Linked DNA regions of Callithrix jacchus. The protein of the gene in region 4 interacts with the protein of the main gene of each other region in a pairwise test. Links are inferred from orthologs where the notes say so. Each region holds a gene or a part of one and is shown on either strand. Other genes may lie near its edges.

Region 1 (4,042 bases), on a different chromosome or scaffold from region 4:
AAGAGAAACTAAAAAACTTTGTTCTTATACAGCTTACATTCTAACTGGAGGAGACAGTCTATGACCATACCACCCTGAACGCACTGATCTCATCTAATTGGAAGAGACAGACATAAATAAATGTATAAATATATTGGGTTAAAAGATAACTATTATGGGCAAGGCGCGATGGCTCATGCCTGTAATCCTAGCACTTTGGGAGGCCAAGGTGGCTGGATCACCTGAGGTCAGTAGTTTGAGACCAGGCTGGCCAACACGGCAAAACCCTATCTCTACTAAAAATACAAAAAAAGAAAAAAAATTTGCTGGGTGTGGTGTTGGGTGCCTGTAATCCCAGATACTTGGGAGGCAGAGGCAGGAGAATTGCTTGAACCTGGGAGGTGGAGGTTGCAGTGAGCCAAGATCTTGCCATTGAATTCCAGCCTGGGCAACTGAGTGAGACTCTGTCTCAAAACAAAACAAAACACAATGATGCCTATATAGATCGAGTGGAATGGGCAAAGGAGAAAGCAGTAGAAGAGGTCAGACTGGCAAGGAGGCAGATGGTATAGGGATTGTAGACCCCCGTACCCCAGCTGTTGAGTGTTCTGAAGAGTACGAGATACAGCAGGGCATGGTAGTTCACACCTGTAATCCCAGCGCTTTGGGAGGCCAAGGCAGGGAGGATCGCCTGAGTTTGAGACCAACCTGGGCAACACTATGGGACCTCATCTCTACAGATAATTAAAGCATTAGCGGCTAGGCGTGGTGGCTTATGCCTGTAATCCCAACACTTTGGGAGGCTGAAGTGGGCAGATCACCTGAGGTCAGGAGTTCAAGACCAGTCTGGCCAACATGGTAAAACCCCATCTCTACTAAAAATACAAAAATTAGCTGGACGGGGTGGCTCACACCTGTAACCTCAACTACTCAGGAGGCTGAGGCAGGAGAATTGCTTGAATCTGGGTGGCAGAGGTTGCAGGGAGCCGAGATCACACCACTCCAGCCTACGTGACAGAGTGACTGTCTAAAAAAAAAGAATTAGGTGGATACATGGTGGCATACACCTGTGGTCCCAGCTCTATGTGGGAGGCTCGGGTGGGAAGATAGCCGGAGCCCAGGAGATTGAGGCTGCGGTGAGCTAAGATTGTGCCACTGCACTCTACCCTGGGAGACAGAGCGAGAGACTCTGTCTAAAAATAAAATAAAAAGGAAAGGAAAGAAAAGAAAAAAAGGAGAATATGAGATACTATCTAGGAGGCTACTGTGATAATCCAGGTGAGTCTGTGATAATCTAATGTGAGAGACTGGTGGCTTGAACAGGATGGTGTTCCAAAGTGGTGAAAAGTGGTCTGATTTTGGATATAACTTGATGGCAGAGTTATCAGAATTTCCTTACAGATCAGATGTGGGGAGGGAGGGAGAGAGAGGAGTCATGTTTATCTTTAGCAAATGAAAGAATATCATGCTACTCACTGAGACAGTGGTGAGAGAAGCAGGTTTGGAGAGAAGGTCAGGATTGGTTTTGTACATGTTAAATTTGAGCTGTTTCAAATTGGAGGTGCCAAATAGGCAGTTGAATATAAGAATCTGGATTTCATGAAAGAGATCAGGGCTAAAATATAAAGTTAGGAGTAGTCACCCAAGAGATGGTATTGAAACCATGAAACCTGACAGCACTAGAGAATATCTGAAGAGAAGAGGTCAGAGGACTGAGGATAAGAGGTTGCAAGTAAGAGTCAGCCAACGATATTGAGAAGTGAGGTGGCAGTGAAACAGCAGTGTTGATGTCTTATAACCCAAGTAAGGATACTGTGGGCAGGAGGCCACTATTCAATTGTGTCAAATATTGCTTTAGATGAGATCTGAGAAGTGGATGAAGCACCTCAGAGGTAAGCACTCCCTCCCTAGTAAGAACCTATCAAACGTCAATTCATTTCTCTCCCTTTTTGTCTGCGAAACGTGTTTTCTGCTCATTACACTTCCCATTCGTTTTTCAGTTCTCAGCTTAAAGGTCCTACAATCGGAGAAGCTTCTCAAGACCAATGCTACTGTCACCAGGGAAACGATATTTTATCATGGAAATATATTATTCTAAGAGTCTACGTAATTGTCTCTCCGCTGGGCTTGACTGTAAGGTCCTTAAATCAGACGTGTCTGTATGTTGTTACTTCTGTACTCAAATATTCGATTGAACTTCGAGCATAGCGCAAAGCTCGTAGTAGGTTTTCCATAAATATTTACAAAACCAATGGATAAATGCTAAGAACACTTAGTGGCGCGAGCGATTACTTCCTATTGGCCTAACTTCGGGGGTGCCTAGAAGGGAGTGCCTAAAACTAGGAGTGGGCGCGGAGGTCTCTGGCCATTGCTTAGTCTCCCATTCCATTACTTTTGCAAGTCCCCTGCCGGACACTTTTTAGCTGTCCTCCCCCCCGCCCCCGGCCCCGCTGCTAGCCATTGTCTTGTTCGGACCTCATCCCAGACACTCACCCAGCCGCGTGGTGCGTTCCTGCGGCGCCGCGGGCTTGTCCCCAGTCCCATGCTCGGCCTCGAGCTCCTCCTGTTGCTGCCGTGCTTGCTGCAAAATCCGTCGGCTCAGCCGAGGCCCCACATACTCTTCCTCCTCTTCTCCGGTGCCACGACCCCGCCGCTTCTCCCGGACCCCTGCCCGCAACGCATTCCCAGCTAGGATCTGCTCAGCCAGGGGCGCATGTTTTTCCTGACCCCCGGCCCCACGGGTGGCCTTGAACTTGGGCATTTTTCTTGAAAATACTGCCGGGAAGGTTCGCACGTGGGGACGACGAAAAGGCCAGAATACACTTGGGTGAACTCCCACCTCCCAAGAGGCCACGCTGCGATCACAGCGCCCTCTAGCTATCGGAGGCCAGAAGCGCTATCAGCACCGCCCCTCCCACTAAAAGAGCTCCTGGGTTCCGGAGCTGGACTCCCAAATACATTTACTTCCTTTAACGTTGGCGTCTCTCAATAGTGCAGTCTAAGTCTCGTTCTTCTAGCTTCATGGATCTAAGCCTAGAGTGCTCAGCCAACCGGGAATTTCCGGAGCTAGAAACATGAGAGCGGGAATCCACTGATTATGTCACTGGAGGCGTCACCGACGGGTGCCAAGACACGCCCCATTCCTTGGGGAAGGCGTGGACCCGGCGCTCTGTTTTTACGTATTTCCGGAATCCCTTCTGCGACCGAAGCCTGTGTTGGGGAACTGAAGCAGTTCCTGTGGGCGGACTGGGAACGACGCATTTCTACTGTGTGATCCTGCCACCTTCCTGTCCCGACACCATGGGAGTGACTTGGTAGGACTGCAGGGGTTTTGTGGGGCGGGATTTGGAGTTGTGAAGGGCCGGGAAGAGGTCCTTGACCATGGCCCGCCGTCCTCTGGGAGCTGAGCGAAATGTCCTCGGGTTATCTGGATAAGAGGATACCGTGCGGGCCGCGGGTTCCCTGGGCCTTTTTCCTCGGAGATGCGCTCTTACCTCTTGGAAGGCGGCAGAGCAAAGGTTTTATACCAGGGACCTATCAATGGTTATGTACCTTCTTCCCTTATGGGTACATCTTCCTTCCCGTGAGGCCATAGTACTGTCTGCACTTGGACCTCAAGGTTGGAAATAGGGACTTTGGATTAGGACCTACCTGCAGACAGGGTTGGAGGGAGTAGGTTAAAAGCGATCAGGAGACAGTATTTTTTTTTTTTTTTTTTGAGATTTTCGCCTACCCTTGTCTCAGCCATCAAATGCAGTTAGACCAGCTGGTGTCTGTTTGTAATTTGCCCATTTTAAGATCTTGGGTCTAGAGGAAAAAAGAGGCTATTGATAAGAAGGAGATCGTGGTTCCAGGCACTCTTTAGGACCTGCTTCTCACTATGTTTAATTCCATGGTTGGTCTAGTTTCAATGGAGTTTTTATCTTTCATATGTTTTAAGTCTCAGTTGGAAGATGAGGTGGCAGGGAAAGGTACAACGCTCGCGGAGGCATTAGTTGTAAGGTACTAGGTCCCAGACATTTTTTTTTCTTATCGCAGGAGGTGTGAGCATCTTTCCTGTGGG
Region 2 (2,639 bases), on a different chromosome or scaffold from region 4:
ATGTGTAGATAATTGGATCATATTGAATTCTCATCAATAAGATACAGACATTTGATCGTGATTGCCAACAAATACTGGGTGACTTTAAAAAAGTTACTTGAAATCATTTTGATTTGTCTTCAATTCAATTTTGCTTGTATGTATGTCTATAACCATATAGATCTAAGTTTTATTTTTGTTCCCTGAAGATTCCTGATATAACTGTCAGCTAGTTTTCTACCTTATTCTTATTGGCCTTGTCACAAGAATCAACATTTCATAAGGGAACCAAGCTAATTCCCGAGTCTGAGATTTTAATGAACAAAAGCCTGTGTATTTAGTAGACATCTACTACCTGTAGTCTGAGTAACAAAAATCTCTGAACCCCCAAAAGTTTGTTTGAATCCCAAACTTCATATGGTTTTCAAACCTATTCCTATATATATACCAGTTGTTTCATAATAATCCCCTAAATATGTCACAACCAAAACTTGGCAATAAAAAACCACCACAAACATAGCTGAATATCAGACCAGTAGATTTATTTCGTTAAAATGATTTGACTTTTTCCACAATTGTGGAAAAAATAAAATAATATAAATTCTAACTTTAATGTGTACTTCAAGATTATTTTGGGTTAGTACACAGGTTTTCAGATGAAGCCTGCCAGTCAGTATCTGGGGCCAAAGACAAATTGAGAACTTGATAATTAGAGAATAAGAGGCTAATTCTTTCTGTACAAGATGAAGACAATAAAGGTTATGAGTAGAGACATTAATGGCATCGGCCAATAAAATTAGCAGTTTAACAAGATGATCAATAATAGAAGCCTGATCCACAAGTTGGTCTGTAACAAGAAGACTGGCAGCTCCTAGAAGCCAAGTAGGTTGGGCGGCAGAATCCAGATCCATAGCCCAGGGAAGGGAAGCCGCAGCCTCCATAACCCAGGGATCTGAAGCCACTGGATCCGCAGCCCACTGAGTAGCAGCTCCTAGATCCATAGCCCAGGGGGCGGCAGCTGCTGGAGCCAAAGCCTAGAGGCCCAGAGTAAGTCGTCTGGCAGGGATTGAAGAGCACAGAGGTTCTCGGGCGGTAGCAGGAGGTCTGGCAGGGGCTGGACTCCACACAGGATGTCTGGTAGCTGGTGGGCTCGCAGCAGGGCTCCTGACAGCCCCCGTAGAGAGAGGAACCCAGCTGGCAGGTGCTGGGAGAGCAGAGGTCAGTGCTGTAGACCAGGTTGCTGGGGTAGGAAGAGCCACAGGAGGAGCCTGGGTAGCGCATGTAGCCCCCACAGGAGCGGGAGGAGAAGTTTCCAGAGCAGCAGTTGTAGGACATGTTGACGGGAGATGTGAGTTCAGCTGAGTTACACTGAGAAGATCTGAGTTTGGATGCCACTCCTGGAAGGGACCATTTATATACTTTCAACTGTGGGTGTGGCACCTGACAGGGTCATCCTTCACGTGTTTGAGCTCCCACATTTGCATATAAGTAACTTAGTAATCTTTGTAATTGCAGTTAACACGCTTCATCTTATATTTATGGAAGAACTCATTTTGTTTTTACAGCTCTGCGTCAATGAAATACATTTATGTTACAAATGCTATGACTGTATGTGATTAATGTCCACTCCATTATGGCCAGGAAGACCCCTCTTATTTTCTCTGGCCATGATTTACACACTTGCTCCTGTTTTGGCTGGGAAATTCTTTCTGTCTTGGATGGGGATGGCAATGTACTCATATTTTTTGTCAGTGGCCTAGCAGCAGAAATTTTATTGGTTCACACTCTCCAAAATAGTTTGCCGTCTATTATTTACTATAAGCAATGTTTATCATTGCTGTCTCAAGGACTATGTAAAAGTAATCCAGAGGGATTGAGAGATAACTAAAACCAGATATCATCTTGAACACGTTTAGAAAAAAAAATTAGTGTTTAGAAAAAAGAAATCAAAACAAAAGCCAAAAAAAATGAAAAACATCAATATGGACAAATGTGGAAAAAGCAAACCTCACCTCACTGCTAAGATAAGGTAGGAAATAAAGCACAGTAGCAGAAGGATGATCAGGACTGCCAGGGTTCCAGCTAACTGATGGGTAGTCCATCCTGAAAGCAAATCAAAATGCTTTCAAATAGACGTATTTAATAGCTTTTGTATGATGCATTCATATTTGTAAGTGTCCTGGAGCCTGCATGCTTATAACACCTCAAAACCCCCACCTCAGTATTCTGAATGCTTTCTGAGTATTTCCAGAATAATGCCACCAGCTTTTATGTTTTTCCCTCTTCTTGTGGGACGTGACTCTGTCCCAGCCCTCTTTAAAGAGATGGATTTAGGTTGTGTGGGTGTGGAAAAATATAATTTGGGGATCCTCATTAAAAATACCATATTATGAATATAATAATAGATATAAACACAGATATTAATATAGAATAAACACTTCCAAAGTTAACAAAACTCAAGACATCACAAAATCAAGACAATAATATACCATTATCATCATCATCTATAACCTTTTCCTATATTTTTTGGCTGCATCCTCTTGGATCATCTCCACATAGGACAATGATTTTTTCAACATGATTTTCTGCAGAACAAATGGAAGTAAAATTCAGTGTGTTTTAGAAATAGTATATCAAAACTACTTGAATTACTTTTTAAT
Region 3 (3,500 bases), about 13 Mb from region 4:
GAATTTCACTTAGAACATCAAGATTCCTACAGTAATAAGAGAAAATTCACATCCCTAACAAGTTTATGCCTTCCTTACTCATACATTTTGACTGTTTCATTGACATGCATAGGAGTGTTTATAAAAATAGAGATAGAGATGTCATAGTTCTGACTCTCCCAACTTTTTTATCTAAACCATTATGTTTCATGTAAAATGAACATGCTGTTGTTAATTTGCATTTGCTTTTTAAAAAACAGTTGTTTAAAAATTTTTTTTTAATGTTTCCAGTTCTTACTGGGTTTAATTAGAAAAGCCTTTATTGTAAACAAAATAATTATGAGTGTATTGAGTCGAGCCCTTTCCCTTTTTCTATTTTTTTCTTTTACTGTTTGAGCTAATTTGAACAAAATTATGAACCTCATAACCAGGACTTTTCTTTTTTCTTTGCAGTGTGCAAATCTCCAGGGAGTCAAAATGCTCTGTTCTAATGCAGAAGGAGCATCCCTGAAACTGTGTAATTTTGAGGATCCTTCTGGTCTTAAAGCCAATTTAGAAGGTGAGATCCTATCTGTAAATAGCTATTTATGGAGAAAGCAGACCATAAAGGAAAAAGCCCTGGAAAGTAATTGTTATGGGTGAAACAGGATAGCAATAGGGGATATGTTTCTTCTGTCATCATATTTGGAGAACTTCCAAAGAAGTAGATACCTTCTTTTTTTCTCAATCAAATGCTAATCTAAACTGAGGACTTAGAAGAAATAAAGCCTCGAAAATTAAGATTTTAGTTGGAAAATTAAATATCAACATCTTAAACTTTCAAATGTAATATAATGTTCTTATACTGGCCAAAAGGAAAAATTTCTTATGCATAAAGCCAGGGAGTTTTAAAAAATCGTTTTTAGATTTAATATATTGTTTCTTAGTTTGTTATTGTTTTGTTATATCTGTGACTGACCACTTTGTTTACTTGTATGTTTTAGGAGACTACTTAACTCCCTCATCATAAACCTGTAGAGGCACAGTATGAAAGTGTTAACTATCATAAAACAGAACGAAGTTTCTTCCTTTAAAAGTACTGATGAAAGCATTCTTTCATCAGTGAACTCTTTATATATATGTTTGTTGAGAGACAAGATTTTAGATTCATTTCCAAAAGTTAAAGGAGGCTGTCATTATTCACCCCATTAAGTCATCTTGCAGTTTTATTGAAGTGGATAACTATATTTTTAAGTTAAGCTACTCCCAGAATGTGTTCACTGTAGGTGCTAATCTGAAAGGTGTGGATATGGAAGGAAGTCAGATGACAGGAATTAACCTGAGAGTGGCTACCTTAAAAAATGCAAAATTGAAGAACTGTAACCTCAGAGGAGCAACACTGGCAGGAACTGATTTAGAGGTGAGTTCACCAACATTTTAAGAGTTTTTATTACTCTAGACTTAATAAGTATTTCATGCAAAATTTATTGAAATCAAAACAAAGTAGTTGGCTGGTAAAACTGCCAGGTAACATGCCAACACAACTGGAGGGATATTTTCCTTTGATTTGTGTGTTTACACAAATAAGAATTCCAGAGCAAGATTCACTTACCTAAGTCATAGATGCCACTTGTGGATTGGAAGACTCACCTGACATTCAGTCTAAGTTGATTTAATTTCTCTCCTTTTCCTGAGTTTTTCTTAAGTAAATAAGTTTGATAGATGCATTATTAATCTAATATATTGCATTTTCCATAAAAAATAATTCTGAACAGAATTAAATGGGCTAGATTACTTCTTAAACTACCTAAGAAATTTAAATGATACCCAGGTTTGAAATCAGGTCCAGGAAAAGTCTATTTAACATTGGAGCCGTATGTTTTTTGGTTTTCAGCTTGAGACTATAATTTTGCCAACTCATCTTTTTCATAAGAATTGTATTTGTATGTCTTCTTAATCTCTCAGTTTAGCTACCAGACTTGATAGCTGTTGATAGGTCTACACCAGCACCATCCAGTAGCACTTAGTGCAGGAGGGACACGTTCTATATCTGTGCTGTTCAGTATAGTAGCTACTAGCCATAGATAGCTGTTGAGCACTTGAGATGTGGCTAGTGTAGATGAGAAATTTATTTTTAAATTTTATTTAATTGTAATTCATTTAAATTTAAGTAGCCACATGTGGCTGGTAGCTATGAAATCCGGCATAAATTGCATTGCAGAGAACAGGGTTTCAAATTTTAGCTTGCTGTTAATTTTTTTTCTTAATGCTTTTGCCTAGATCTCTTGATAGCTCTCAGTAGCAGAGGAGCAGGCCTCTTTCAACTTGAAGGCAAAAAGAATTGACCCAAGATTATAATCCTATCACAAGCACAATTATTTATTGTTTGTTACATTACTTCCATCTAAGATTATATTTTTTTTCCTAGGTTTTAGTTACTGTGTAGTCAGTGTGGCTTAGCAGCAAAAACCTCCCTCTGTCTGATTGCAAAGACTGATAAGACTGACTATTGAGGGGAGAGCTGCTGATATCTGTTCTCCTAACAGGTTATGTTTAGTCACCCTTCTCTCTAACCATTCTCCCCCTATCATATCCAGGGACTTAACTAGAATCTCTATCTTATCTATCAGTCTGTGATCTCAAGAGAAATTAAGAGCTGGGCACAGTGGCTCACGCCTGTAATCCCAGCACTTTAGGAGGCGGGCAGATCACCTGAGGTTGGGAGTTCGAGACCAGCCTGACCAACATGGTGAAACCCCCGTCTCTACTAAAAATACAAAAATTTATCGGGGCCTGGTGGCACATGCCTGTAATCCCATCTACTCTGCAGGCTGAGGCAGGAGAATCTATTGAACCTGGAAGGAGGAGGTTTCATTGAACCGAGGTAGCACCATTGCACTCCATCCTGGCAACAAGAGCAAAATTCCATCTCAAAAAGAAATTAAAAAACAGCTTCAAACTGTGGTAGTTACACTACTCTGTACATCTACCAAAACTCATTGTATTATATGGGGCTTTAAAAAGAAGGGTAGTTCCTTGCTATGAAAATACTAGGTCTAGGGAATGGAAAAATCTGTTATGCAATTTGATTAAGTAAAATCCCATCTCATGCCTTTGTTGTTGCTGTTGTTGTTCTTGGATCACAGTAAAATTATTTCGATAATCTTTATTACCTTGGGGCCGGGTGCAGTGGCTCACACCTGTAGTCTCAGCACTTTGGGAGGCCAAGGAGGGCAGATCACTTGAGGTCAGGAGTGTGAGACCAGCCTGTCCAGCATGGTGAAATTTTGTCTCTACTAAAAATACAAAATATTAGTCAGGCGTGGTGGCGAGCACCTGTAATCCCAGCTTACTCAGGAGGCTGAGGCAGGAAAATTGCTTGTCCTGAGAGGTGGAGGCTGCAGTGAGCCAAGATTGTGCCACTGCATACCAGCCTGGGCAACAAGAATGAAACTCCTCTAAAAAAAGAAATTGTGTGTGTGTGTGTGTGTGTGTGTGTGTTACTATGTTAGAATCCATTCTGTATTTTTTTTTTTTTTTTG
Region 4 (4,071 bases):
AATATAATATCCTCGATTCAAGAACCAGAATCTCTGTTAACTAAAATATTACTGGTCACAGAATGTTAAGCTAGAACTCTATTAGCAAATGTGCTCACTGTTCTTCCATGGATGAGGACCTGGATTCTTGTGAAACACCCAATTTAAGGTCAAATCACTGAATCAGTAGTGAGTAGTATTGAATAGTACTGTCCATAAGTTTCAGCCTCAGTGACCAAAGAAACTTCCTTGGAAAGGTATACTAAACATTTTCATTGGATGAGCTATAGGCAAGATGAACCCTAAACCAACGTTTAGGAGAAGTGGAAGAAGATTCAGTGCTGCCTCTCAACCAGTTAACTGTATGACGGTGTACAAGTCTTCACTGCCTGGCTTCTGCTTCCCCCCTTCAAAAATCACACCATGGTCAGCGACTAGGTGGTCTGTACAGCGGAGTCCAGTTTCTCTTCTCTTTATTAACTCAGAGGCAGAGTCATCTGTATCAGAATTCTGTGTTCCACATACTTTTCTTTTGTTTTGAGCCCATCATTCTATAATTGCCTATTCCTCACAAAGGCGCTGAAAGAATACAAAAATCTCCGAGATTTGTGCTGCGAACTCTAATGGTAAAACTCAAGATCTTGACATTAGTTCAATATGACTAAGCACGTGGGGCAAAAGATAACCCGAAAGATGATCCTTTCAGTTACATAGGCTATACATTTACCTGTAATACCCAAAGTCAGTTGCTATTTTACATGTCTATTTTCTTGGGGATCATTCCCCCAACTATCATTTCACGCCAATGGACAGACACTGTAATCTTGAAATACGCTTAAAACAAGGGGCCTGATAGCCTCTAGGATATCTGAGCAGCTTCCCGCACCTCTCCCACTAGTTGTTGGGACTAGCACCAGCCCCACAAGAGGTGCAACCAAAAATGTCTCCAGATGCTGCTCTAGATAATGTCCCCTGAGAGAGGGGAGATAAAATCCCCCTGGTAGAGAACTACCGATTTAAAGAACAACTCTTTTATGTAAGAGAAACCTGACACTGCCCCCTTTTGGCACCTAAAACCACCTTAGGAAGGAAAGTGCTAACCTAGGTTAGGAGGCCGAGGCTGCTTCTTGGAGACTGAGAAATGCACTCAAGACCTACAAGGCCTTTCCTCACAGCTTGATCATGAGTGGAAAGGCCTAGAGAAGCGTGGCAAAGAACTCCGGATCTGGGAACCCCCCTCATCTTTACCATACACTAGGTGCACTGGAAAGTAGATAGGAAATAAGTATGCTCTGAAACAGGCCAGCTGAAACTTTCAAGAGGAGCCAGTCCAGAAATTTCCAGGTAGCAAGGGACCACCCAGGGCAGGTCCACCCGAAGTCCCAAGCTCGGCGGCCTGCGGGTCCTACCCGTGCTGGTTGCCCGCGCGGAGCTCCCGCCACGCCCACCGGACGTCACTCGTTACACAACGCCCCCCGCCCCCAGCTTACGCAATTCTGCCCTCCCGCGGCTCCCAATTTTCCCGGTGACTTCTGTGGGTGGGGAAGGGAGACGCCGCCTGACCGGCCTCGTTCCCCTCGCGGAGGATTCTCTCCCTGCCCTGGCAGTAATTTCCCCGCCGCGGGCCCAGCCCGAGAGTCAGTTCCCGGAAAGCGCGCGGCAGGAAGCGAGCGGACGCTGGGGCTCGCCCAGCTCCCACCCATCCCGCGCTGGGGCGGCCTCGGTCCCGGTCACCCACTCCGCGCCCGGCGCGCGCGCCCGACAGCCAGGCCGCGGTCGAGGGAACCCCGCGCTGAGCGCCCCTCCCCGCGCCGCGTCACAGTCGGCTTCCAGGGCGATCCCCATTGTGACCGAAGCACCCCGGGGCGCCGCCCCCTCCCACACCCCCCAGCACCCCAAGACCCGACACTCCTGTGGCCCAGCGGCCTCGGGGAAGCAGAGGAGCCTCCCGGGGTGCAGACGAGCTCCGGGTCCCGGGCCCTAGGGGCCAGAAGGGTGCGGTCGGCCGGGCCCCGCCGCATCCCCGCGCGGTCACCTGCTCGCAGCGCCTCGCAGGCGGCGGCCAGGGCCTCCCGGTAGCGCCCCTGGTGCAGCAACTCCCCGAGCCGGCCGGCTGCCCGGGCCCGCTCGCGCTGGCCTGGGAACCACTTCTCGGCCAGGTGGTTGAGGACGACGCTGGTTCTGAAGTCGGAGGCGGCGATGGCGGCGGCCAGAGGCGGCGGCCGCGGGGCAGTCCCTTCAGCATCGGTGGCACTGGCGGTGGCGGGCGGTAGCCGGTCCCGGCAGAGGCGGCAGCGAGCGCGGAACTCCCTCCGCAAGCAGCGGCGGCAGTAGCTGTGGCCACAGGGCACCGTCACCGGCTCGCTCAGGAAGCCCCGGCAGCCCAGGCAGCTGAGGAGCCCGCCGGCGCCGCCGTCCGCACCCGCAGTCGGGGCCGCGCTCCAGCTCAGCCCGTGGCGGAGCCGGTAGTTGAACACCAGGCAGTCCACCAGGACACCCAGGCACTCAGGCCTGGCCGGGGCCCCGCGGCGCAGCGCAGCCGCGAACGCCTCCAGCGCGCCCTTCAGGTGGCCGCCCAGCGCCAGGAGCTCCCCGCGGCGGAGCAGCAGCTCCCAGCGATCCGACTCCGCGACCGCGCGCTCCAGCCGGTGGCCGCTGCCGCCGCCCACTTCCCAGAACCGGCCTCGGCCCTGCGGCGCTGGGGCCATCTCCCGACTCCCTTCCGGGGAGCTCCTCGCCACCGCCGGAGAGGACATGGCCCGCGGAGGGCTGCTCCGCCGCCGCCACCGCCGCCGCCGCCGCCGCCCGCCGCCACGGTCCCGGAGCCTCCCGGGCGCGCGGCTCCGCACGCGGCCCGCGAGCAGGGGGGCGTGGCGCGCGGACACGGCGGGGCGGCGCGCGCCCGGGAAGCCCCGGGGGCGGGGCCTGGCGAGGGCGGGGCCCGCTTGGCGACTGCACCCGGGACTCCCTCACGCCGCCCGCGGCCGCGCTACCAAGGAGCCGAGCGCTGGGCCCCGCCCCTTCCGAGCCCGCTCCCAGCGAGAGACGCAGATCGGATGAATCTCCCGGCGGAGAGCTATCGGCTTTTCCGGAATGGAGGACTCGGCTCGTGACGGAACAAAGCCCGAAGAAGCAGGGAGCCTTAGACCCCGCTCGCCTGGCCGCCGACGTCCCCGGTCTGCGGTGGCCCGAGCCCCTGCCTGGTTGGAGGGCACTCCCCTGCCGCGGGGGACTTCGGGTCTCCACCCCTCTCCCGAGGCGCCCGCCCAGGCGGGACCTGCCCCAACTCTTGGCGGGCGGGATTCTCCTGGCGTGGCCTAGTGCTTGTCAGGTGCGGGTCTACATTTTCATTCGTCTGTGCCTGGGTTCCAGGTGGGCGCGCCTAAGCAGGGGGTCTAGGAGGGCACCGTAGCCCGATGACTCGGACTCTTCGGGTCTAGAGGCCTCAACTTTAAACTTGAACAAAAAACCCACGTTCCTGGGGCGACTTCCTCCAGAGGGTAAGGTGTGTTTCCTGGTGCCCGGTTGACTGCCTCCAGCCCTGCTTAAAGCTCATCCCCGACGCACCTCGAGGGAGAAAGCCCCCAGTTTCCTTAGGTGTCCCCACACCTCGAGAACTGCCCTACAGCTGGCTAAAGTCTATATTTGGCATTCGTAAAAGAAAACATCAAGAAAAATGTTTTTCACATGGCGGTCACCATATTACTACAACCAAAGCAGGGTCTGCAGCTTTGCCGACAGAAGAAAATGATAGGGTTGATATAAAATGGGTTCTGTTTTCCTTAAACTTCACAGCAGCAAATTTAAAGCTCTCCGCTGAAAATATTTGTAGATTTGATTATAGGATATTAGAATTAGGGGAGTCACTTAGAATTTTTAGTCCTTTTTCAAATCTTTGGAAACAAAGTTAATTGTTCAAAATCACAGAATCTAATAGATTTTAAGATCACGTCTATTCCACTATTAACTACGTTAGACTAATCATATGTAATAATTCATATGTAATATTTCATAGAAAATGAGGTTTTCAAAGTAAAGGAAGTTGCTAATTGGAGAGTTCATCTGAACATGCTATATCTGAAATTAGCAAAA
Region 5 (3,500 bases), on a different chromosome or scaffold from region 4:
CCGGCTGTGTCTGCTTCTGCTTCTGTCCCTGCCTCAGCTCTGCCTGGATCAGGAGGTGAGCTCAGCCTGCCACCCTTTCGTCTCCCCCAGGCTCCCACCCAACCTCCCCAGGCCACGCCTCCATTGCCCACAGCTCACCTGCCTCCCCTGCCAACTCCCCACCTCCTTGCCTCCTGACACCAAGAGGCCGAATTCTCATCCTCCCTCTGCTACCGAATGTGACCTTGGACTGGTAGTGACTCCACGAGTCTCAGCCTTTCTCTAGTTGAAGGACAGATCAGGACAGTTCCCTCTAATCCTTCCATTTCTGTCTGACCGTTTTCTCTGCATAGATGTTGTCCGGACACTTGCTTCAGACACCCACAGAGGAGGGCCAGGGCCCCGAAGGTGTCTGGGGACCTTGGGTCCAGTGGGCAACTTGCTCCCAGCCCTGCGGGGTAGGGGTGCAGCGCCGGACCAGGACCTGTCAGCTCCCTACATCGCAGCTCCGCAGAAGCCTGCCCCTCCCTCCCCGGCCCCCAAGACATCCAGAAGCCCTCCTTCCCCGGGGACAGGGTCCCAGACCCCAGGCTTCTCCAGAAACCCTCCCCTTGTACAGGCCACAGTCTCGGGGAAGGGGTGGCCCACTTCGAGGTCCCGCTTCCCGCCTAGGGAGAGAAGAGACCCAGGAGCTTCGAGGGGCCAGGAGGTGAGGCTTGGGTGGAAGAGGTGGGCCTTGGGCAAGGTGGGTTTGTGACATGAAGGAAAGGGGGGCACAGATTGCTTCCGAGGGCGTGTCTTTGGTGCCAGGAAGTGAAGTGGGGACAAGGGTCAGAGGTGGTCAGAGCTGTGCCCCCACATCTGAAACACCTTCTCAGGTCCCGGCTTCGAGACCCCATCAAGCCAGGAATGTTCGGTTATGGGAGAGTGCCCTTTGCATTGCCACTGCACCGGGACCGCAGGCATCCCCGCAGGCCGCCCAGATCTGAGCTGAACCTGGTCTCTTCTAGAGGGGAAGAGCCTCTTCCATCCCCGACTCCAAGAGCAGCAGCATTCTCCTCAAATGGCAGCTCCCGGACTGAGCTCCCTCTCCCATCCCCCCCAGCAGAACCTCTAAGCCCTGAAACTGCTGAGACAGAAGAGCCCCCCGGAACCAGGCCTGCCCTGCCACGGCACCACCCCAGAGCCCAGGCCTCTGGCACAGAGCTGCCCTCACCCACCCACTCCTTAGGAGAAAGTAGCTTTTTCCATGCATCCCCTCAGCCCCAAAGGCCAAGTTCCCAGGGTTGGGCTGGTCCCCAGGTAGCAGGGAGACGCCCTAATCCTTTCCCTTCAGTCCCTCGGAGCCGAGGCCAGCAGGGCCAAGGGCCTTGGAGAACAGCGGGGACTCCTCACGGGCCTCACCTGGAGCCTGACCCCCAGCACTGGGACGGCTGGCTGCCCCTGCTGACCAATGGCCCCCAAGCCAGCTCCCTCTGGAGCCTCTTCGCTCCCAGTAGCCCTATCCCAAGATGTTCTGGTGAGAGTGAGCAGCTGAGAGCCTGCAGCCAAGCGGTGAGCCTCCCTGGACCTCCTCTCCCACCTCAGCCTCCAGTGTGGGCCTCCCCACCCTGAAGCTGGGTCCTCAGCTTGTCTGCTGGGCACCTGAGGGAGAAGGGCCTTGGCGTCTGACCACATCAGGGTAGGGGCCTTGGAGCTCTTCCACTGGCCTGAGCCTCCTGGCTGCTCCCCAGGGTCAGCCCTGACCCTACTCCCATTTTGCTCCCCAGCTCTGACTCCTTTGTACCCCCCACCGCAGCCCTGCCCCCCTGAGCAGCCAGACCCCCGGGCCCTGCAGTGCGCGGCCTTTGACTCCCAGGAATTCATGGGCCAGCTGTACCAGTGGGAGCCCTTCACTGAAGGTGAGGTTTCTTGCCCACCCTGGGCAGTGGTGGCTTGGAATTAGGGATGAGGGGAGAGGAGACCCCTGCTTACTCCCAGCCGGGAATGACTTCCAGCCCCTCTGCTTCCCCTGAGGGCTGTGCCTTCTTCTTCTCGCTGGGGCTGGGTCAGGAGACAGAACAGGTGGCGAATGGTCTGCAGAGGGGTTGGGCTGGGAGGAAGAGGTGTGGGAGGCACACTTTGACTCCTCTGGGAAAGTCATCACCGGAAGTCGGGTGGCTGTGACGCAGGAGGGCCATGGTGGGAGAGATCCCGCCAGCCGTGATAGCCAGGTGGGGGTGTGCTGCGCATCCTGGGCGCTATCGTATCAGTTGCTCCTGGGTTACCATCCATCATCCATCTCATTTTTGGTCTATGTTCTTTTTTCTTTTTTTTGAGACCATGTCTCCCTCTGTTGCCCAGGCTGGAGTGCAGCGGTGCGATCTTGGCTCACTGTAACCACAGCCTCCTAGGTTCAAGGGATTCTTCTGCCTCAGCCTCCTGAGTAGCTGGGCCTACAGGTGTGTGCCACCACGCCCAGCTAATTTTTGTATTTTTTTTTTTTTGAGACGGAGTTTTGCTGTTGTTGCCCAGACTGGAGTGCAATGGCACGATCTCGGCTCACCGCAACCTCCGCCTTCTGAGTTCAAGCAATTCTCCTGCCTCAGCCTGCTGAGTAGCTGGGACTACAGGCGCACACCACCATGCCCAGCTAATTTTTGTATTTTAGTAGAGAGAGGGTTTCACCTTGTTGACCAGGATGGTCTCGATCTCTTGACCTTGTGATCCACCCAAAGTGATCCTCGGCCTCCCAAAGTGCTGGGATTATAGGTGTGAGCCACTGCGCCCAGCCTAATTTTTGTATTTTTTTTTTTGGTAGAGACAGGCTTCACCATATTACCCAGGCTGGGCTTGAACTCCTGACTTTGTGACCCACTCGGCTCAGCCTCCCAAAGTGCTGTGATGACAGGTGTGAGCCACGGCACCTGGCAGGCCTGTGTTAATTGGCACCAAGACAAGCGCTCATGAGCTCTGAACACACAGAATCATGGGCGTCAGGGATGCTTCTCTCCGTTCAGAGCCCCCTTGATGGTCTCGGTGGCCTCGACTGACCTGACCACCTTCTCAGTTTGTGCAGTTGCCACATTCCCTCCATCCACGGTGACCTGGGCAACCTCAGGGTGTCCCCCAGAGCCTCTCTCAACTAACCTCCCACGAGGGAGCCTACTAACCACCTTTCTACCCTGTCCCTTAGTCCAGGGCTCCCAGCGCTGTGAACTGAACTGCCGGCCCCGTGGCTTCCGCTTCTATGTTCGTCACACCGAAAAGGTCCAGGATGGGACCCTGTGTCAGCCTGGGGCCCCTGACATCTGTGTGGCCGGCCGCTGTCTGGTGAGGGAAGACAGAATGTGTGTGCCTGCACACAGACACACACACGCATATGCACACAGACACACACATGCATATGCACACAGACACATGCATATGCGCAGACACATACACATGCATATGCACAGACATGCACACATGCATATGCACATAGACACAGATACACCCACATATGCACACACAGATACACATGCATATACACAGACATGCAC
Region 6 (4,218 bases), on a different chromosome or scaffold from region 4:
GCTTTTGTTGTCTTGCATTCCTTATGTGTCCCTCTCTTCTTCCCCCCTCCCTTGGCCAGGGACCTATGTCTGAGTCCACAGTCACAGATACTTCCCAAGCATATTGGAATGGAGTGGCCATGTGGCGACAGAGAATGCTCCCTGTGTAGACTAAGGCACCTGAAAAATTTGTCCTTTAGGGATCTGGGAGCTCTAGGCATGCTGGCCTCAATGTTCTCAGTTCTGTTTCCTCTCTGCTTTCCCAGACTCCTGCTTGTGTCCCGAAGGGATCACCTGGAGGTACAGGTCTTTAGTTTGCTAAAAAAAAAAAAGGCCTTGAGAATCAAGGTATAATATAAAGAGGCTGTTGTGAGTCCTTCACAGGTGGTACTCCTACTAGGAAGCTCATGAGCTAGAATTTTCATAAATAAGAAGTAGGGAGGGAGATGTTGGAGGACGAGAAAGAGGGCTCAGGGCTAAGAGACAGGTATTAATGGCCTAGGGAGCTGTGGTAGAGGTGAAAAAGAGTAAGGTAGAGAGGGATGAATGAGACCAGAGTGAGGCAGAACAAGCAAGGTGCTGAGCAGAAAGTGGTGATGAGAAGCAGAGGAGGCCAAGAGTCAGAAGCCAGAAGAGAGGCCAGATTGAAGACAAGCACCCAGAGCCAACCTCCTGACACATGCGTTAGCATCCCTGCGCATCCTCCACAAACCTCAGGCTTGGTCAGGGCATTCAGTGGCCATGGTTCCATTCCAAAGCAGCATCAAGACCAGTGCTTTATCTTCTTGCTGAGATAGCCTGCCTCTGCTCCTCTGCACAGCCTCCCCTCTCTCCCAAAATCAGGCCTGTTCTTGCACCTGGATTCTTACTGTATCACCTGTCAAATCTCCTGGCTTCCCACCTTTGCACCTGCAGGCCATTCTGCACATTAGAATCACCTGAAGGGGCGATGCTCATTAATTCAGATGCTCAGGTGGTACCCCAGACCAATACAATCAGAATGTTTCTGGGGTGGATATCGGGCATCAGTAATTTTTAAAGATCCCCAAGTGACTTCAATGCACAATAACGTTAGGGAGCAACTGATGCCTGAGGCATTTTCCTAAAGACCAATTTTATCTTTTTCCTGTTGAAATGGGCTCAGAGGCTCAGTTGCTGTTGCACAGAGAATTAGGTAGTTGAGAGAGGAATGTGGACACTATTTCCCACACTTTAGTATTTCTAGACTTGGACTGAGAATCCCTGGATTTCCTATTTATGCAGATACTATGAGAGGGCCATAGGTGGAGAGTTATGGGTGTTAAGGAGCTACTAAAGATTTAATGGCAAGATGGATAATATCTTTCCCCTAAGTTCACTAAACTTCTGCTTGCAGAATTGCTTTTCCAGGCTTGAAAGCTTTCAAACTGGCCTGCCATTTTTCTGCTTCTTCTAATCCTGTCATCTTATAGTGCTGTCATCTTTTCTAAGAAGTGTGCTCTTAGTACTTCAGACTCCCCTCATGTGTGACATAAAAAGGCTTGTTTGGCAGAGCAGGTGAGGATAATGTAAGACCTGATATGGAGGATTAGTACTCCAAATGAATAATTGAGACCCCAAGTTCCGTGACTTCTGGATGAGAAAAAGAGAAGGCAGTTGGAGTTCCTGGATGTCTGGGGTACTTAAATGGCTCTCAGGGTCAAAAGTGCCCCATAGAAGGTCTTACTTTTCCAATAAATGTTGCAGGTATTTAGAGTTAATAGGAAGAAAATGAGCACTTTTTATTTTTCTATAACATGCAGATTATAAAGAATATACATTAATTCTTATATCTACAATATCATGGGGGTGGGGGGGTCTTGTCTCTGTTTTGCAATACAGCATTCTAGAGTTAAGATCACAAATTTTAGGTTCCAATTCTGACTCTGAATCTTTCCAGCTGTGTCATCCTGGGGCAACTTCTTCTCAAAGTTTCCTTTGAGAAGGAAACTTCTCAAATGCTCAGTTTCCTCATGAGAACAGTGGACTTTGGGTTATGCATGAAATGCCTGGAAAATTGTGTAAACACCAAGTATTAGCTATTACTATTTTGTACAGATGAGAGAGGGTTCAGAAGAGTGAAGTGCTCTAGTCGATGATGCTTAGATTGGAGCTCATGGTCTACATACATAGTGACCATATATGATACAGTTAATTGCTACAAAATTCTTGGCTCCTTTTTTTTAGATAAATAAACACAGAGGGGCACTGGCCTGCCCTGTGGACTTCACAGCTAGCAAGGGGTCCCTAGTTTTCCTGAGCCAATGTGGCTGCACATCTGGTGCCTGGCACTTACAAGGTATGGATGCTCTTGAGGCGGCCCTTGTGGAAAGTCACGGTGATATTACGGCAGCAGCGGCTCTCATAGTAGTAGCACTTGACGTTGCTGCTGGCTGTGCAGCAGCACTTACAGTTGGGATCATTGGCCCAAGAACAGCAACACCAATGGCAGTTGGGGTTCTCAGCACAGGTACAGTGGCAGAACTGGCAGTTCTGCTCATCTTTGTAAGGGCAGGGGAAGCAGGTGCAGTTCCGCTCTGAGGTAAAGATGAACTTGCAGCATAGACAGGAGCATAACCGAGGACAACATCGCTGCCATGTACAACATGGACAGCAAACACACATAGCAGTTTCCATGGTGCCTACATGATTAACACTGCCCCGCTAGGATTTTTGATGCCCCCTCTACCAGAATACTGCTATCAGTTCTCCAGTAGAGGAGTCTCTCCTCCCCCTTGTGAGGCCGTCAGCTTGGGAGTTGCAAGAAGTTGGCTGTTATGAGGCGTTCACTGTTGGTGTCCCTACCAGGAAGCTCATAGGCTGGCATTTACATATATCAGCCTGAGGGTATTTGCTTATGTCACAATCCCTCTCTCTCTACCATGCTGGGTGGGTAGGAGGATGCGGCCTTGTGGGTGTAGCAGGTATGTTGATGGGCTCTCCATGCTTCCATGGAACCAGCTGTAGAGGAGTGGTGATGCAGTGAGCCTTCCGGAAGTTCAGTTGTCATTTGTCAGCTTTTGGAAAATGGAGATTTCGGAAGCTGTTTCTCCTTGTTTGGTGTTCTGCCTGCAATTTGGGCAAGTTGACTTCATATTATGTCTTCATAGACTGAAAGGCTTGGGTACAAAGTAGAATAACATGGTTTTCTTCATGTTAGAGGAACTGATAGAATTCTATTTGAACAAAGGAATTATATATCCCCCAGATAATAGCAATGCGATATTTAAAGAGATATCACCATTAGGAGAGAGTTAAAAAACACATAGATTCACTTTAGGGACTTCTTTCAGTAGTAATTGATTTTATCAATCAATGCATAGTCACTGCTCATTTTCATGAAGCTTTATACATAAGCCAATCTGAATATTTCTTGGCTTTTTGTAGCTTCATGGTGTTTGGGTGAGGCTCAAGCTTGCTCACTTTTCCCCCACCCTATTCCCACCCCACTACATGCCTTTTAAAAAGAGACTGGAACTCTACATGAAATCTTTCACTGTTCTGCTAGTATATGCTCAGGATCCTTAGAAACAAGACCCTATATTTTACAGAAAAATTTCACTTTCCAATTTATGCAGCTTGCGAAGATTAAAGGAACAGAAATTTCATGGTCATAGTACGTTATAGTGTGAACATTTTCTTATTTTTGTAAAAAGCAGAAGAGCTGAATTTGGCTGCAGGAATTAAGTGCATAATTTATTATCTCTCCTTATGGTTATCACCTCTATAATAGGAAAGAACATCACTGAGTGCCAACTATGCCAGCCACACATTGATATTAGAGTTCCAACAGTGAAAATCCTGGATCACAGAATATGTGCTTGATCTTTTTTTGATACAAACTGCCAAATTTCTTAAATAAATGTGCCAGTTAATACCAGCAAGTAATGTAAGATGTTCAAAAAAGTGAAACACCTTTTCCCTCCATGTTTGCCAAAACTGTTTCATTAATATTTCTCCCCATCCTCCAGGCACATAGGTTGGAGTTTCACTCCCAGATTTATGATACATTTTTACTATTGGTTTCTGTAAGGTCTTGTTAAAAACTTACTAATATGTAATTCACTTACCATTCAGTTCACCATTTTAAAGTAAATGGTTTTCAGTATATTCATAAAATTGTGCAACTATCACGATTATCTAGTTCCAAAATATTTTCTTCACCCCCAAAAAACACTCATAAGCAGCCTCTCTCTGTTCCTGCCTTCCCCCAGCCCTTAG
Region 7 (4,275 bases), on a different chromosome or scaffold from region 4:
TCACCAAGCACAGGAAAGGCACTACTGACCCAGAAGTAAACAGGAGGCATTCATTTCAAGTTAAAAAACCTGCAGGATGGCCGGGCACCGTGGCTCACACCTGTAAACCCAGCACTTTGGATGGGTGGATCACCTGAGATTGGGAGTTCAAGACCAGCCCAGCCAACGTGGTGGAACCCCGTCTCTACTAAAAATACAAAAATTATCTGGGCGTGGTGGTGGGCACCTGTAGTCCCAGCTACTGGGGAGGCTAAGGCAGAAAAATGGCTTGAGCTGGAGAGGCGGAGGTTGCAGTGAGCCAAGGTTGCGCCACTGCACTGCAGCATGGGTGATAGACTGAGACTGTCTTAAAACACACACACACAGCTGCAGGAAGTAGTGTGGTGTCCTACCTGATGTGTTCAGACAGGGTAGAGAACTGGTTCTCAGCAAGAGGTGATTTTGCCCCCCAACCCCTACAGGACACTTAGCAATGTCTGGAGACATCTTCAGTTGTCACATCTAGGGCTGGGGTGGTAACAGCATCTAGTGGGTAGGGGCCAGGGATGTTGCTACACATCCTGCAATACACAGGACAGCCCCCACAGCAAAGAATTTTCATGCTCAAAATGTCACTAGAGCCAAGGCTGAGAAACCCTGTGGTAGAGTGGTCATCTCTTACCATTCTTCTACAAGACTGCTTTACTTCAGTACTCCAATTGTACCAGCCTCTGAGCTGTTCCTATCATACTCACAGCAGGATTCCTTCTCAGAGCCTTTGTACCTGCTATCCTCCCTGCTTAAATAACCATTCTTCAAAAGTTGCAAAGCTCTCACCCTCTTTCTTCAGATCTCTGTTCAAGTTATCACCTGATAACAATGTCTTCTCAAAATATCGTAATAGAAAATAAGTCACCATGCTTTATCTTATTTTTCTCACAGCACTTACCACCACCCAAGCATTGCTTACTCATTTTTGTCGTTTTTTGTTTAGTTTCGAGATGGAGTCTCACTCTGCTGCCCTGGATAGAAGGCAGTGGCACTGGCTCACTGGAACCTCCACCTCCTGGATTCAAGCAATTCTCCTGCCTCAGCCTCCCAAGTAGCTGGGATTACCAGCACCCACCACCCTGCCCAGCTAATTTTTGTATTTTTAGTAGAGGCAGGGTTTTTGCTTGTTGGCCAGGCTGGTCTCAAACTCCTGGCCTCAAGTGATCCACCCACCTCTGCCTCCCAAAGTGCTGGGATTACAAGCCTAAGCAACCACACCTGGCCTTGTCTGCTTTTCTCTCATCAAAATATAACAAGAACTTCATGAGGGAATTTGTCGATTTTGTTCACTGCTATAGTCCCAGTGCCCAGAAGTGTACCACATATTACCAACTGCCTAACAAACATTTATTGAAAGAACGAATAAAACAATGAATGGACATTAGGGAGGAGAACTAAAAGGATTTAGAAGAGAGGCAGGGCAGAAAAACAGTGCAACAGTTAAGACACATGAACTTCAGAATCACAAAGAGGTTCCAGTTTCAGCACCACCACTTGCTAGATGTATGATCTGGGGGCACACAACAGCCTCTCTGTGACTCAGGCTTTTTATTAGTAAAATGAAGATAATGATAATAAAAGAATTTACCTCCTGCACATCGATGGAAGCACCTGGCACTGAGCCTGACATGCAATCAGGGCCAAACAAATGCTAAGCTCTTGGTGGCATTGGTTTAGTGACCAGCAGAAAGGGGAGGAGTAATTTTAGAGAGCCCTGAGGTTTCCTGTGCAAGGACTGGAAGCTGGGGAAGAAGCCATTACTCAGGCAAGAGCAGGTATCGGAATCAAAAAGTACCAAGGCAGGGGTGGTGCTTCAGCTGCAGAGGTGGCCTAGGACAGAAATGCAATGCGTGGACTCCAGGGCCAGACTCTGCCTGTAAATTCCCACTCCTTCATTCACAAGCTACGTGGCCCTGCGCAAATTACTTGTAGCCCTCTGTGCTTCAGTGCTCTCATCTTTTAAAATGAGGATAACAATACCTACCTCTTAGGGTGACTGTGATGCTCAGTGATTTATGTTACCCAAACTACCCAGAATAATGCGTGGCCTAAAGCAAGCGCTGTGTAAATGTAACCATTATTATAATGACAACACGGTTAAGATCATGGTTTCTGACGTCAGGGAGCCTGAACTGGATTCAGGGTTATTAGCTGGGTGACCTTGGCAAGTTACACCAAACTCTCTGTGCCTCCATTCTCTTCCAAAATTAAAATAGCCTTCACCTAAGTCCTAAACCCCACAAGCTTCAGCAGAGTAACTTCCAAAGGTTTTCAGAGCTCCACCCCTGCCTTGCCCCCAAGCAGAGATCTGCAGAGCAAATCCAACCCACAAGCACCAAGCACAGGAAATGCACTAACGACCCTATGATTCCGGAGAATTCCCAACCCCATCCAATAGCCCACGCTCTACTCAAGAGACGAGAGCTGCCATTCCTGCTCCCTCCTCCCGCAGAAACTGTAGAACCCGCCGGTCGAGGCCTGGAGCGCCCGCGAGAAGGGGCCGGGAAGAGGAAAGCCACGGTTGCGACTCGCGGCCCAGGAGCCGGGGAAACCCGGAGGCTGCGCCCGCGTCTCCTCACCAGTAGCAGCTGCTGTAGACACAGGCGTCCCGCGGGGGGCTGGCCGGCTGGTACTGGGCGGCAGCGGGGCCATTACCCTCCATGGCCGGCTAGCTCAGCCAGGGCCCCAGCCGCAGGAAGACCGACTGGACCTGACGTAGCAAAGGAAGGGGCTGGCGTGCAGCGGCCCGCACGCGCACCCAGGGCGGGATGAGCGGAGCGCGGGGCAGCCGGGGCAGTTTCTGGGTGGCGGGGCCAGGAGCGCGGTGGGGCGTGGCCAGCAGCCTGAGTTCCCGGCGCGGGAATCCCGGGACGAAGTGGGCGGAGCTCGGGGCGAGCGGCGCAGGTTCCTGGGAGGGTGGAGCCCGAGCTAAATGGGCGGGTCGGGGGTGGGGTGAGTGGCGCGAGCTCCCAGTGGACGGAGCCCCGAACAAGGACGACATCGTGGTTCCGGGTAGGCGGAGCCCGGATGGTGGGTGGAGCCTGGGGTGGGGAGGGGCGGGGCCGCGTGTTGTGGTGGGCGGAGTCAGGGGCGGGGTACCGGTGAGGTTCGGGAGAAGTGGGGTCTCTGGCGACGACCTGAGGAGGAGCTAGGCTTGGGCTTGAGTTGGGCCCTGAATAGCGCTTCGCTGAGTCTCCCCGGAGAGGCTCTTCCAACCTGGGATGCGCTTCTGCGCTGTGGAGGAACCAGGTGAGATACTGAAATAACAGAGGTTTGGGTATGAAAATCCACAATTCAGCACTCAGCCTGGAGTCCGCGGGAGCCCAGAGAAGACGTGGGGCGTGAAGGGTAATTCCAAATATGACCTCATCGAGGACGCTTTCCGAAAAGGATAGCACCCCAAATCTCACTCTATTGTAACTTAATTTTTTTAATTGGAAGACCTATATCTACTGGCTCGAAAAGGTATATTAATTCCCTGATACAGTAAATTTTAGAAGTTTAAAGAGTTCATATGGTATCCTTTATGTGTTAATCATATATTTGTTCAATTACTGGCAGTCTGGAAGAAAAGACATCATATTGTTAAAATAGTGTTTATCTCTGGTGAATGAATGGTATTAATATCAGGGACTTTAAGTTTCAAGGACTTTCACTTTACACTTTAGTCTTCTGAATTGTTCATATTTGCAATGAGCATAGATAGCTAATGGGGGTACACTTCTCATTATAAAAACTGAGATGTTACATTGATTTTAGCTATCCACAGTCGGATTCTCCAGTCTCAGGAGTCTCAAAGCTGATAAATCCTAAAGACCGAGCATAGTTCCTGTCAGTTACCAATTTTATTGCCTCTCAGCTCTTAATACAAACTTCCACATAGCCTCTATGCTAAATAACAACTCTGGTAAACGTTTCTCCTTTAAAATGAGTGGGAAACCCTGCAAGCTAGAAGGGATTGGGGCCCTATCTTTAGTCTCTTCAAACAAAATAATTAGCCAAGAATTTTGTATCCAGCAAAACTAAGCATCATATATGATGGAAAGATACAGTCTTTTCCAGACAAATGCTGAGATAATTTGCCACTACCAAGCCACCACTACAAGAACTGCTAAAAGAAGCTCTAAATCTTGAAAAAAAAGTCCTGGAAACACATCTAAACAGAACCCCTTTAAAGCATAAATCACAAAGGACCTATAAAACAAAAATACAATTTAAAAAGCAAAAACAAACCAAACTACACAG

What was found.
Region 1: the proteins of LONRF1 (region 4) and BYSL interact in binary tests that used the Homo sapiens proteins (3 or more experiments, as listed by UniProt). The two-hybrid records come from large-scale screens. The link is inferred for Callithrix jacchus from reciprocal best matches to the Homo sapiens genes LONRF1 and BYSL.
Region 2: the proteins of LONRF1 (region 4) and KRTAP13-1 interact in a two-hybrid assay, tested with the Homo sapiens proteins (2 studies listed by BioGRID). The two-hybrid records come from large-scale screens. The link is inferred for Callithrix jacchus from reciprocal best matches to the Homo sapiens genes LONRF1 and KRTAP13-1.
Region 3: the proteins of LONRF1 (region 4) and KCTD9 interact in binary tests that used the Homo sapiens proteins (3 or more experiments, as listed by UniProt). The two-hybrid records come from large-scale screens. The link is inferred for Callithrix jacchus from reciprocal best matches to the Homo sapiens genes LONRF1 and KCTD9.
Region 5: the proteins of LONRF1 (region 4) and ADAMTSL4 interact in binary tests that used the Homo sapiens proteins (3 or more experiments, as listed by UniProt). The two-hybrid records come from large-scale screens. The link is inferred for Callithrix jacchus from reciprocal best matches to the Homo sapiens genes LONRF1 and ADAMTSL4.
Region 6: the proteins of LONRF1 (region 4) and TRIM42 interact in binary tests that used the Homo sapiens proteins (3 or more experiments, as listed by UniProt). The two-hybrid records come from large-scale screens. The link is inferred for Callithrix jacchus from reciprocal best matches to the Homo sapiens genes LONRF1 and TRIM42.
Region 7: the proteins of LONRF1 (region 4) and NTAQ1 interact in binary tests that used the Homo sapiens proteins (3 or more experiments, as listed by UniProt). The two-hybrid records come from large-scale screens. The link is inferred for Callithrix jacchus from reciprocal best matches to the Homo sapiens genes LONRF1 and NTAQ1.

What each region holds. Positions count from the first base shown.
Region 1 is NC_133505.1:50,424,008-50,428,049, reverse strand, and holds the start of BYSL (bystin), read right to left. Parts: upstream 2,801-4,042; 5' UTR 2,741-2,800; coding exon 2,473-2,740; intron 1-2,472. UniProt on the Homo sapiens protein: Required for processing of 20S pre-rRNA precursor and biogenesis of 40S ribosomal subunits. May be required for trophinin-dependent regulation of cell adhesion during implantation of human embryos.
Region 2 is NC_133522.1:36,448,920-36,451,558, reverse strand, and holds KRTAP13-1 (keratin-associated protein 13-1), read right to left. Parts: upstream 1,366-2,639; 5' UTR 1,315-1,365; coding exon 796-1,314; 3' UTR 501-795; downstream 1-500. UniProt on the Homo sapiens protein: In the hair cortex, hair keratin intermediate filaments are embedded in an interfilamentous matrix, consisting of hair keratin-associated proteins (KRTAP), which are essential for the formation of a rigid and resistant hair shaft through their extensive disulfide bond cross-linking with abundant cysteine residues of hair keratins.
Region 3 is NC_133514.1:16,082,236-16,085,735, forward strand, and holds part of KCTD9 (BTB/POZ domain-containing protein KCTD9), read left to right. Parts: intron 1-432; coding exon 433-538; intron 539-1,244; coding exon 1,245-1,378; intron 1,379-3,500. UniProt on the Homo sapiens protein: Substrate-specific adapter of a BCR (BTB-CUL3-RBX1) E3 ubiquitin-protein ligase complex, which mediates the ubiquitination of target proteins, leading to their degradation by the proteasome.
Region 4 is NC_133514.1:29,000,471-29,004,541, reverse strand, and holds the start of LONRF1 (LON peptidase N-terminal domain and RING finger protein 1), read right to left. Parts: upstream 2,801-4,071; 5' UTR 2,736-2,800; coding exon 2,015-2,735; intron 1-2,014.
Region 5 is NC_133519.1:10,461,713-10,465,212, forward strand, and holds part of ADAMTSL4 (ADAMTS-like protein 4), read left to right. Parts: coding exon 1-55; intron 56-332; coding exon 333-688; intron 689-857; coding exon 858-1,533; intron 1,534-1,777; coding exon 1,778-1,880; intron 1,881-2,444; exon of another isoform or gene 2,445-3,154; coding exon 3,155-3,291; exon of another isoform or gene 3,292-3,500. UniProt on the Homo sapiens protein: Positive regulation of apoptosis. May facilitate FBN1 microfibril biogenesis.
Region 6 is NC_133518.1:43,744,948-43,749,165, forward strand, and holds the start of TRIM42 (tripartite motif-containing protein 42), read right to left. Parts: upstream 2,801-4,218; 5' UTR 2,635-2,800; coding exon 2,294-2,634; intron 1-2,293.
Region 7 is NC_133517.1:73,988,315-73,992,589, forward strand, and holds the start of NTAQ1 (protein N-terminal glutamine amidohydrolase), read right to left. Parts: upstream 2,801-4,275; 5' UTR 2,693-2,800; coding exon 2,610-2,692; intron 1-2,609. UniProt on the Homo sapiens protein: Mediates the side-chain deamidation of N-terminal glutamine residues to glutamate, an important step in N-end rule pathway of protein degradation.